Sus scrofa: one gene and its partner. The protein of the gene in region 1 purifies or fractionates together with the protein of each later gene. This does not show direct contact. Links are inferred from orthologs where the notes say so. Each region holds a gene or a part of one and is shown in the gene's direction. Other genes may lie near its edges.

Region 1 (6,289 bases):
CCAGTCTCCCGACCTCTGGGAGAGCTTCTGGGAACACCAGCCTGTGCTGAAGAGAGTCCAGCTACCCAGAGGGTAATAAAGGCTCAAATCATTTCAGAAGTTTAAAAAGCAAACTAACAACAGTATGCACAAGGCAGAGAATTTAGGAGACACAGGGAAGCAAAACAAAACATTGCTCAGTTGCATTATTCAGAGGTAACCCAATATTGGTATCTGTTCTTTTTTTGTACCTTCTGTGCCTACCTGTACTTTCCCCCAAAATGCCATCTCACTGCTTCCTTCACCTCATGACATGGTGTGTCTGTTTCCCTGCGAATGAAGTGTTCTCCACGTGGTTTTTGAGGGGGGCATCGCATGTGCTGGCGTTTGCTCTCACAGAAGAAGCCCCTCAGGATCTGTGACGGTCCCTTCTGAGCAGTTTGGGGGCGCAGCGTCCTAATCTCCGGTACCGGGGCTGCTGCGTGGGTAGCGGGCACTCTTCACAGCGGGATCACAGTGCCCCGAGGAACGAGGAACAGGAACGAGGAACGGCAGCCTTGGGTTATTTTGGTTCCACTTTTGGCTCCAATCAGAAGAACTTGACACTTTTTGCTTATATTGTTCTGCAAACCCCTACTGATGATTTGAATAATAAAGCGGGTCTGAAAGAAGACAAGTCGGGGGTGTTAGGGGAACAAAAGTAAGGATGTGTGGAGCTGACCACAGACGGCAGAGATTTAACCTTTGAATAGCAAGATCCTAGTTGAGCAGGAAACCCTGCTCTTTTTCACCAGAAACTTCTGGCCTGACTTTAGCTGGTTCAAATGGAAGCAAGTTTGAACCATTGAGTATTTCTTTTTTCTCTCTTTCTGCTTCCATCAAACTCCCTTAATGCCTTCAACCACTGCCTCTAACTTGAATGCTTGTAACAGAAGAAGGACCAGATAGTTGAACTAGCATTTAAGGTTTAGTAGATGTTTCTTTCATCCCACCCCCAAGAGGTCAGCAGCTGTCTTCCAGTGAGCCGCTGAGCCACCATCGTGCAGGCCGTAGGAAGAGGTGAGGCCTCTGAGTCTGCGACAGCCCTCAGGTGTTGCCTCCAGGGAGCATGTGACCATCTTGTGTTTTCTTTCCTTTTGTCTTTAACCCGGATAGAGGAGTTCCCTAGTGGCTCAGTGGGTTAGGGATCTGGCACTGTCACTGGTGTGCTCTAGTCACTGATGTGGCGTGGGTTTGATCCATAGCCCGGGAATTTCTGCATCCCCACCCCCCCAGCCCCGGAAAAAAAAGAAGGAAAAAACAAACAAACCAAGGATAGATACCATCTGTTTTTATTGGTGTTGATTAGATGTATTTGCAACTTTTTCGAGATACTGGAACGCAAAATACTTCATTCTGATGCTGGGAGCTGATTTGAAGGTCATTCTGACTATTAATTTTGAGCTTATATCTTCCTTCTTCTAATTTATTTTGTTTTGTTTAACCATTCTTTCCAATGGAATTTTTTTTTTTAATTAGAAAAACTCTTCTACGGTGGTTCTGATTGTTTAGAGCCTGTAGCCCTTGGAGGCTGTTCTAAGGCAGGATCACAAAGCCACATGCCAGTGGGGGAGGAAGGGGTGGGTCCTGAGGAGGTGCCCCCAGGAGTGTCAGGATAGGGAGCAGAGGTGAGGACTGGGCATGGGGTCTTAGGTCCCACAAGTTGTGACCCTTGGGGTGGAGCCTGGTGTTACCATATAATCTGGTTTCTCAAGAGAAGCTGGAGATAGAGATTTTGCACGTTGTGATAAGTGTTTGAAATGTGAAAATCATTATATATTAGCTTAAACTTTTACAAAAGGAAAGACTGTGTGGATCAGACAAATCACATCCATGGTCCAGATTATGCCCACAGATGGCCAGTTTGAGTCTTTGTTCTAAAGGATTAATTTTTGCCTTTTCAGAAAAGAACAGTCGTCATTAAGCAGAGTGTGTGGATGCCGATTTGGCTGAGATATCTTATTTTAATCACCTTTAACAAGCAAATACCGCTCACATATCTGTAGATTTAGATGAGTCAGTTGTAACACATAACTCTCCTCAATTACCTGTTAGAACTTTGTCCTGCTGTTGTGTAGTTTCTTGGGTGCAGAGCAGACTTGTAAAAAGAAAATGGAGTTTTCAGCTAATGGATCTCCAGCCGAGTGTGTGACTTTTTTTTTTTTTTTTTAAATGTATGATTTTCTCAAGTTTCTAAATAGCAGTGTTCTCAGTTGAATCTAGAACAATCTATTAACACGATAACTATTGGATTTTTCCAGGATCCTTGAATGTATTGGCAATTGAAGGTTGAAAAAATTGAAAATCTTGACTCCCTTTAGTTACTAGATGGATATTCATATATTTTCTTTTTCCTTCTTTTTTTAAAGATTTGAACATGGAATTCAATCCTTCAGACCATCCTCGGGCCAGCACAATATTCCTCAGTAAATCGCAGACGGATGGTGGGTAACTAATGTATTTGTCTGTCTGTCTGTCTGTCTGTCTCCCTCTCTCCCCCCCACCCCCTCCCTTCCTTATGTTGATAGTAGCCTCAGTCTTGACTTTCCACCAGACTCAGGAGAAAAACAGAATCCCCTCACTGACCCCGGAAGGTATTATTGATAGTGATTTCCTTGCGGTTTCTTTATTTTGTAGCAAGTTATAAAATTTACTGTTTGAGGCAACTGTCCTTATTTTGCCAATGAGCTGGATTAGTTCTAGGTAGTTTCTAACCTGAGAGTCAGAAATTTTCCTTTAAAGAGTTGGTATTTGTATAAATTCTCTCAAATCAAAAGTATTAGGTAGTATGTAAAAGAAATCAAAATAGAACCCTTACTAAAAGCACCGTCCTCTCCGTTGTGTCATCTGAGCGCTGAGTTGAACCTGTGCACCAGGGGTAGATGTTTTCTTTCTGCCAGGCCTCTGCTAACCGGGTTTCTCCGCAGCCTTTGTGGTCCCACGAGTGTGGACTTTCTCCTGCGGGTTTTTCCCTCTTCAGCCCTTGGCTTGCACCGCTGTCCCCTGGCCTGAGACCGCAAAGGAGAGAGAAGACACACAGTGAACGGTGACGCAGTCTGTTCTGTTACAGTGCTGCAGCGTTGCAGGATTCTGGCCCTGCCTCTTTTAGCAAATTGCTAAGCTCTGATTTTGCGAAGTTCATAAATGGACCAGAAGATAAACATGTCTAAGACAGTAGTTCATGTAATAAGAACTGATAACCCAGTTTATGGTTAGGAAACGACTTTGACCTGGTGTCATGCTGATGAATATTGGTGAGCTTTAATCAAGCAGGCCACTGATTTGATTGGAAAGAATGTGGCGCATTTATTTAAAAAAAAAAAAAAGTGTTTCCAAGGATAAGAATAAATTATCGCTGGCATCAAGTACTTGAATGTATTGGGCGAAAGCAAAACGTTTTTTTCGTGCCCTGGGCTGGTCGGTGGGAGGCGGTTGGGAGGGTAGGATGTGGCCGGGGCAGGAGAGCAGCAGCAGAGGGTTTGGGACAATGAAGAGTGAGAACCAAAAGCAGTTGTTTTACGCCTGATGACAGTGCTGTGAAAACAAGTTACATGTTTGGCATACTTGCAGATTTGGTTCCTGCTTCCTGCGAATTCAGGGCACAGGGCAACATCTGTCAGAAAATGTTCTAGCTGGATTGGCACGGAATTGCATCAGGGCCTCTAACTGGATGATGCGTATCTTGCTCGTCATGGGGAGGGGGTGTCGGATTCTCGGCCCTAACAGGAGCTCTGGGCCGGCGTCAGGGTCGCATACCTTCCCCTCTGCTCCACGCTCTTCTGTCCAGATTTTCAGCATCAGTGACTCTGATCCTTCTGGTTTTTTGCTTATTTCTCCTTTAAACGCTGAGTCTTTCTGTTCAGTGTAAACCTGCTTGAGTCGTTCCGGTTAAAAGCAAGAAAGGGCGGAACAGCCGACCCCGTCTCCGGTTCTGCTGAGGGGGAGCTCCTGTACCGTCTCCTCCTCTTGTCATTTGCTGTCCCCCCGGGCTCTTCCTCCCGCCACCTCTGTTTCGTGACACGGCCTCTGGTGGCTCCCGCTCTCATGTGGCACTGGCTCCTTGAAACGCCTGTTTTGGCTTCCTGTCTTCACAAAGGCTCGTTTGCTGGAAACCAGTCCAATTAATTAAGGGGTTGCTCTATGGATAATTAAGTAGGTTTTTAAAATAGGTAAATCTAGTGACCGTAATGAGTCAATTCTTTGGTGAAGTGATTACAGGGAATTGGCTCTTTGGGAACGGCTCTTTCCTTAACGTGCCTCTCGGACATGTCAGTTTCTCCGTGTGTGCCTTGGTCTTTTTGAGGGTTCTGTGCTTTACCCCCTTACCTTTTTGGTCCGCATCTCATGCCTCCCAGTTTCCAAGCCTTCTGTAATGTGCAGCTGGATTTTGCTCTGCAGTGTTCTCAACCCCTCTATCCTGCTGGCTGCTGGACATCTGTTGCTTCCTCTGAACTCAGTGTGGCCTAGACAGAACTTAGTACCCGGGCTTCACCTCCTGCCGTCCTGCCCTGTCCTCTCCCGGGGCCTCTCCCCTGCGGTCCCCTCCCGCCTCAGCTCTGAGCTGCTCCAGTCCTGCAAGGCTCATCCCCACCCCTGTCTGTGTGCCCTGCTCCCCGTCCAGGCCAGCCCATGTTGGCCCCGGAGGATACGTGTTCCCCGATCCCCCACCCTTCTGCCTTCCCACCCACACGTTTCCCCAACTGGAACATCTCTGAGATCGACAGGCAGTGTGGCTTGTCACTATCAATCAGCAGTATTTTTGTCTTTTGTTTTTTGACGGTCGCACCGGAGGCATATGGAGGTTCCCAGGCTAGGTGTCCAATCAGAGCTACAGATGCTGGCCTACGCCAGAGCCACAGCAACGCCAGATCCAAGCCATGTCTGCAGCCTACACCACAGCTCACAGCAACACCAGATCCTTAACCCATTGAGCGGGGCCAGGGGTCAAACCCGCATCCTCATGGTTCCTAGTCGGATTCATTTCTGCTGCGCCACGACGGGAACTCCAGTGGTATTTTTTTCTTAATGGCAGATAGAAAAAAGATGTACTGTAACACCAGTGGCACTAAAGTCAATGCAATTTGCATGTTTGTCTATGTGAAGGTGAATTTTTTGTTTGTTTGTTTGGTTTGTAAATGAACCAGTGGGTCTATTGACCCACCAAATTCCATCTTGCTGTAGGATAAGGACTGTGCCGAGCACAGAGACTAGCCTGCAGGAGAAACTTGAAAAGACCGATGGATGAATGAGGTCATGAGAGAGTGGAGGCAGGGAGCATGGTCCAGCCTGGGGCAGGCCGAGGCCCTGTGGCACTCTCCCCAATGAGAGGCTTTCTCTTCTGGTCTGAGACATTACTTTCATCCTTAAAAAGGGACGCATCCATTATTTGGGCACAGGGGTGTAGGTCTTGTAGGGCCAGGGAATGTACTGGGCCTTCCCTACACTGCAGGTGCTTCCCTGGTCTGAACCCGAGGCGCTGGTCCTGCCCGCGGACAGCTCTCCCACCTCTGCTGCCATGTCTTAAGCTGCACGAGGTGGGGTGGGTGCAGGGTCTCTTGGCCGTGCTCAGCCCCCTAAGTTAAATGGATAACGGAGGGCTTTGGTGGCCCTTGTGCCCCACTTTTCTCGGCAGCATCACCTGGTCCAGTGTCTGATCTCTTGGGCCTCCCGTGTGGAGAAGGCTGCCTGTGGAGAACACACTCAGCTGGTCAGACAGACCCAGAATGTCAGTTCTGCTCAGTCTGCCCTTTCTGTATCCTCTCTCCTGACCTGTGCTTCCTCCAGATTTGTCCGTCGTCAGAAAGTTGCTCAGTGGGTGCAGTCCCGAGCAAAGGCTCAGGTGTGCTACACCTGGCGGCGGGTGGGGCCTGCGGCCCCGCCTCCTCCGCTGCACTTGCTGCTCGGCAGCGCCCCCTGCTGGCTGTGGGCACAAGAAACTCTAACCGTGGAACTGTCCTAAGTTAGTCCCCCTTCAGGAGCCACCTTTTCCCTCTTTCCCCAGCTTCCTATGTTTATACCAGCCTCATGCAGTTGATATTTTGGGTCAGCTGCCCTGTGACATCTGGGGAGGCAGCAGGATTTCATCTGGGTCAGTCACCACTGGGGACGATGAACGCCTTGGAGAGAGTTCCTGAAGAGAGTGATGGTTAAAAGCTCCAGAATCCCCTGTGGGGCGGCAGGCTGAGCCCCACCCTGTCTGTGTGGTCCCTGTGCCCTCCTGGGCTCTCATCCGGGAGATGAGATTGTTGGGAAGATGGGTGGCAGCTGTTGG
Region 2 (5,587 bases), on another chromosome or scaffold:
TTCTAAAATAGAAGATGGAAAATATTTTAAGACTCAATCCAAAAGAGGGCAGGAAAAGAGTAAAAAGGAAAAGCAGAACAAAATAGGATACGACATTAAGATGATAATAGTAGTTCCAAATATATCGGTAATCATGAAATATAAAAGGGACTAAATTTTTTACCTTAGAAGATGGGGGTTGTTTGATAAACATTAGACCCAGCTATGTAATATTTATGAGACACCTTAAAATTGAATATGGAATAGTAAAAGTAAGAGAATGACAAAAGGTAGGACAGGCAAATACTAAACAAAAGAAAGACGATGTCATTAAATTAATAAGGGGGGAAAAAAAGGACTTTAGCCCAGAAAGCTATTTATTAAAGATAGAGATGGTCACCACAGAAGGATTAAAGACTGAATTTACCAGGAAGATACAACAATGCTAGACTGTTAAGCATTTAATTACCCAAATTTACAACATAGAAAACAGAACTTGGTGAAGTCGCAGGGAAAGACTGTCTATAAACTGAAAGCACAAGGAGTTCCCATTGTGGCTCAGTGGGTTAAGAACACGACTAGTATCTATGAGGACGTGGGTATGATCCTTGGCCTCTCTCAGTGGCTTAAGGATCTGTTGTCGCCGTGAGCTGTGGTATAGGTCACAGATGTGGCTCGGATCTGTGGCTGTGGCGTAGGCCGGCGGCTACAGCTCCAATTAGACCCACAGTCTGGCAACCTCCATATGCCAGCAGTACGGCCCTAAAAGGGACAGAAGACAAAAAACAAACAAACAAACAAAAACAACCATTGCAGCAGCCAAACACTGAGCCCATCTGTGAGACCTTCACCTATGAAGATTTAGAGAGAAAGTCTCTTAGGTTGGGGTCTTTAATGTTTTTCTTGGCTCTTCTCCCTTTTTCTTCCTCTACCCAAGTCCATGACCCTTTTTCTCCCCCACCCACCCCCCAACCCTACATCCTGACCCATAACAATTTAAAATCAGTATTAAAGAGCTGCTTCAGAAGGACAAGGAAGAGAATTGTTGGTCATTGAAGAAAGATGTTTATTGGCTAATGGCATGTTTTGTAGGCTTTTGAAAGAATCTCCACTAGCAGATGTAACTTTTCTCCACATTCTTCTGGCTGCCTTAGAGTCCCTGTACTTACTGCATCTTGTTGCAGAAACTCAGGAATCTGCGCATAAAAGCCTTTAGAAATGATCGGAGAACTTGGCAAATGCAAACTACATTAGAGTTAGCTAGTTCTGACTGGGTTTCAATCCACTCAACCTGCTAACTGAGCAACCCACCACCTTCTCGGACTTCCGCTTAGCTCCACTGCTACTAGATGGAAACAGAGTTACTGGGTGGAGTAATAAATATGACAGTACATGAGAAGTGCCTAGGAACGAGCTTGAACCACGTTCAACTGTTCATATATGGGAGTCGCTATTAGGAAGACTTTAATTATTGTTTTTATGTTAATTATCTGGGTTTGATTGCCCTGAGAAATGAAATGGAGATTCCGTGAAAAACAAGCCTGGGCTGGACAGTGTGGTCTGCTACCCATTTGAAAGCTGGTACCACATGGAAGATTTTACTCCTCTGCTTTTTTGGTGATCTTGAGACATAGTTTCTGTCTGCTGTTGTTTTTAAGGTCATCTTGAATTGATTCAGTCCCATGTGGTTTAAGCTTATTCCCTTTGTTAACCTGCATGTTAATGTTACAATTGTTGAAAGGGTACTTATCCCAATAATTTTATATTCAATGTAAGAAAATGTAAATTCTTAGAGGGAAGGTAACTTTAGTAACTAGAGAATTTGATAGCAGATTTATTTTAATTCTCCTGATTATTTTGTATTAATTTTCCTATAAATGTATCCAGATGTGTATGCGGTCCCTAGATTCTATGAAAAAATTCTGGCAACTATTTGATAAATTATCTTCTGAAATTTTTTACCTTGGGACCTAATTTTATCCTGAAAATACCAACCCTTTGCTTATAGTAGAAGTATGTTAAATCAATAAGACTAGGATATCAAGAATAAAAGCCAGCCAATTTAGAGTAACAAATACTCTAAGAACTAATGTGAATTCTGCTCTTTATTTTCAACAGGCAATTTGACTTGTTTTCTTGACCAGGAATAAATAAGTCCAGAAAAATTAGGTGAGGCTTATGTCTTACTAGTGAATTTTCTTGTGTGTTCTGATTTCTCTCTTTTTTGCTTGTGTTTTCAGGCTCAGCTATGTGAATCATGCAGAGGATCTGGCCTCCAAGCTCCTACAGTGTTCCCCAAAGAACAGACTATCAGCCCAGGCTGCCTTGAGCCACGAGTATTTTAGTGACCTGCCCCCACGGCTATGGGAACTGACTGATAGTGAGTATGACAATTCGAAACATCCAGTTGAAGCAGGGACATGGTTTTAGCATGTATGTATGGCACACAGGTAGAGAGACTCACATGTTTATATGTGCATCTGTAATATGTATATTTGTAAGTGAATTGTGTGTGTGTGTGTGTGTACATGCATGTATATATGAGAGGGAGAGAGGGAGGGAAAAAGAATGAGGGGAGAGGGTAGAAAGTGTATATATTTAGTGGAATCCTGCCATTCAATTGCTAGCTTACCAGACACAGGAAGAAAATGGATTCCTTTTTTTGCTATCTCTGCTCTGCAGTCAGCAGCTGCGTGTCTTTGTATTTGATTATGTGTGTGTCCAAAAAAAAAAAAAAAAAAAATGATCTGAGCAGTCATAAAGGAGAAGGAATATATGATTTACATATTTAGTGCTTTATGCATACCGTACTTTTTAACTGGCTGCAGTACACATAGTAGAAATGATTCATTTCTGTTTGATTCTCAGAGACCATCTTGGTTGTTATAACAATAACCTTAAAAAGGGCTGCTATGCAGTGAGCTGACGAACAGAGTTGGCGGTTGGTTAATGCACTGAATTGACATGTAAGAACTGAAGACATGTAATTCATTTTAACTAGAAACGCTCTCGGTATTCATACAGAGCTCTTCTCTGGATCTTTTAAAACAAAACACATTCCTGGGTGGGTTTTTGTTTTGTTTTTACAAAAGCGTTCGTATTTACACAGCCTTTTCCAATTAGATTTTAAATATCTGGGGGAGGATTTATGGCTGGGAGGATCTCATCTTTCTTCCAAAGTGTGAAACAAAATTCTTGTGAAATTTTGCTGAACACTATTGCAATAAGAATGTTTTTCTTTGACGGTAATACGTTCTTTCCAATGCTAATTAGAGGTATTTCTTCTCATACCCTTTTTTGTTCTAAAAATTAATATACTGCATATATGGATAGATATTGATAATGTCATTATTAATCCTTGCGTATACATCACTTACCATAGACATACATAGAAGTTACTTCTTTAATCTCTTGGTCTTTAGACTTTCTCCCCCCCATGATAGCTTTGGAGGCTCCTCAGTGACAGTAACCTTTTCTTTTGGAATTGAGTCCCAAGTAACAATGCTTAAGTATTTCTACCCTAAATCTTTTCTGATATCCCAGGTTTAATTGTCATTACTTTTTTTTTAACTCTAGAGTGACTATAGCTATATTAACCCACTACTCCACCGTGCTTCAAAAATCCTCACTATTTCATAACATCTTTATTCCATATTCTACCCTCCTTCCTTTCTAGAAGTCTACCCCCTGACCACTACTACAGCTGTTCCCACTTTTTAAAAAATTTAGAGACAAAAATCCCTGTAGAAAAATAAGCTATTGGTGACATACCTTCCCATATAAAAAAAAAATGATGCAAATGGATGCATTAGTTTATGACTCATCAAACTCAAACGTATGGTTTGTTTTTGCATTTAGTATAACTTGTAACTGGATATCACTGCTCCTTGGTGACATCTCAATCCCATCTGACTTGATGATTGAGTTTAAGCCAGGATTCTGATGGTCTATGAATTCTGAATTCTGTAGTAGTACTTTTCTGTTAATATGGACTTATTACCCACTTGCCACTTAGTTTATCAGCCAGTGGTTAAATCCAGTTTCTATCAGTAAGTAAATGCCTACACATTATCACTCGGCAGCAGGCTGCCAGCGGAGACAGCCTTGTCCCCGTCATTAACAAGCACAATGTATGCAGAACACCAGAGGGGAATTAAAACCACAAAAAATACCTCAGGGTGGTATTTTTAATATGAGAATTTAATTTGTAATTTCACAGATTAAGAATTTTGGCTGCATTAATCCCTTTATCAGCTCACAGCAGGCTATTTGCAGAAGCATAACCATAAGGCGATATTCATTGGCAGAAACACGTCTTTGCATAACGTTAAACATCAGGAGCAGTGAAACCTTTTGAAGGGGGGAGAATAAAGATGAAAAATCATTATATTTTTCAAGCAAGAATCTGCTAAATGCCTCCGGTAACAATTTTGAGTTACAGAAATGCTATTTCTGTGTCTAGTAGATAATCATTATGAAGCATAAATCCAGGCGCAAGAAAGGACAATCCCAGTATTAAATACCACAGTCATTTCCATTTCGAACAACGTGGTCGTCCTTGTAAACATGTTGACAAAACAAAGAATTCCTAAGCTTTGGAGACTTTGGGAACTAGTTCTTTTAGTTTTGAGGTGACTGGTTTGGGTGACTCTCTTATTGAGGTTAATATTCCGCAGACTAGATTTAGGCATTCTTAAAATTAAATTTTACGTGTGGAGTCTCATAAAAGTTTACCACCTGGCAAACAGCAGCAGCAGCAGCAGTGGCGGCGGTGCCAGGATCCTCATACTCTTCCTTTTCCAGGAGATTTGGAAGGGGGTCCATCTGAAAAGAAGTGTTGCCGAATCAATAAATGGATTGTCTTAGCAACCAAGTCATGGTTTAGATTTATCAGTTTCAGGAACCTCACATTAATACCTAGTCTGCTCAGGCTGCAATAGCAAAATACCGTAGACTGGGGCTTAAAAAAACCCCCACACATTTATTTCTCCTGGTTCTGAAGGCTGGGAAGTCCAAGATCAAGGCGCAGCAAATTCAGAGTTCCTGATGAAAGAGCCACCTTCCTGTATCCTCACATGGCAACCAGAAAGAGTGACACCTCTCTCTCTCTCTTCCTTTTCATACAGAGCCACTAATCTCATCCTAAGGGTCACATCCTCATGACTTCATCTAACCCTAATTACTACCCAAAGGCTCCATCCCAAATATTATCACATTGGGGGTTAAGACTTAACTTTACGAATTTTGGAGGGATGCAGTTAAATCCATAGCAGCACATTCTTAAAGACAGGTCATAGCATTTTTTTAAAAAAAGAATGTCCACAAAGGGAAAACACTTATGCAAGCAGAAGGCAAACCCAGGTTAAACAGAGAAGATTGTAACAAAAAATAAGTTCAGAGTGGACTCCAGCCTTCTTGGCCTACTTTAATATATCAGACCTTTCGAGAAGAGTATCAAGTGTTATTAGAACCTTGGTTACACAGAGCACTGCAGTCATTCCATGGATTCTTATAAAAATGAAGTTTTAAGCTCATGCCAGATTGTTATTTGCTTTGGAAGAACATATAACAAAGTAATACCTTTCTTTATTGTGCTAGTCCTTAAAAC

Evidence for each region. Proteins that work in one complex are often made in the same cells at the same time.
Region 2: the proteins of CCNY (region 1) and CDK14 purify together in Homo sapiens (affinity purification with western blotting; 3 studies listed by BioGRID and IntAct, with this or other methods). This does not show direct contact. The link is inferred for Sus scrofa from reciprocal best matches to the Homo sapiens genes CCNY and CDK14.

Annotation. Positions count from the first base shown.
Region 1 is NC_010452.4:58,018,829-58,025,117, forward strand, and holds the start of CCNY (cyclin-Y), read left to right. Parts: upstream 1-2,395; coding exon 2,396-2,462; intron 2,463-6,289. UniProt on the Homo sapiens protein: Positive regulatory subunit of the cyclin-dependent kinases CDK14/PFTK1 and CDK16.
Region 2 is NC_010451.4:71,205,272-71,210,858, forward strand, and holds part of CDK14 (cyclin-dependent kinase 14), read left to right. Parts: intron 1-2,219; coding exon 2,220-2,359; intron 2,360-5,587. UniProt on the Homo sapiens protein: Serine/threonine-protein kinase involved in the control of the eukaryotic cell cycle, whose activity is controlled by an associated cyclin.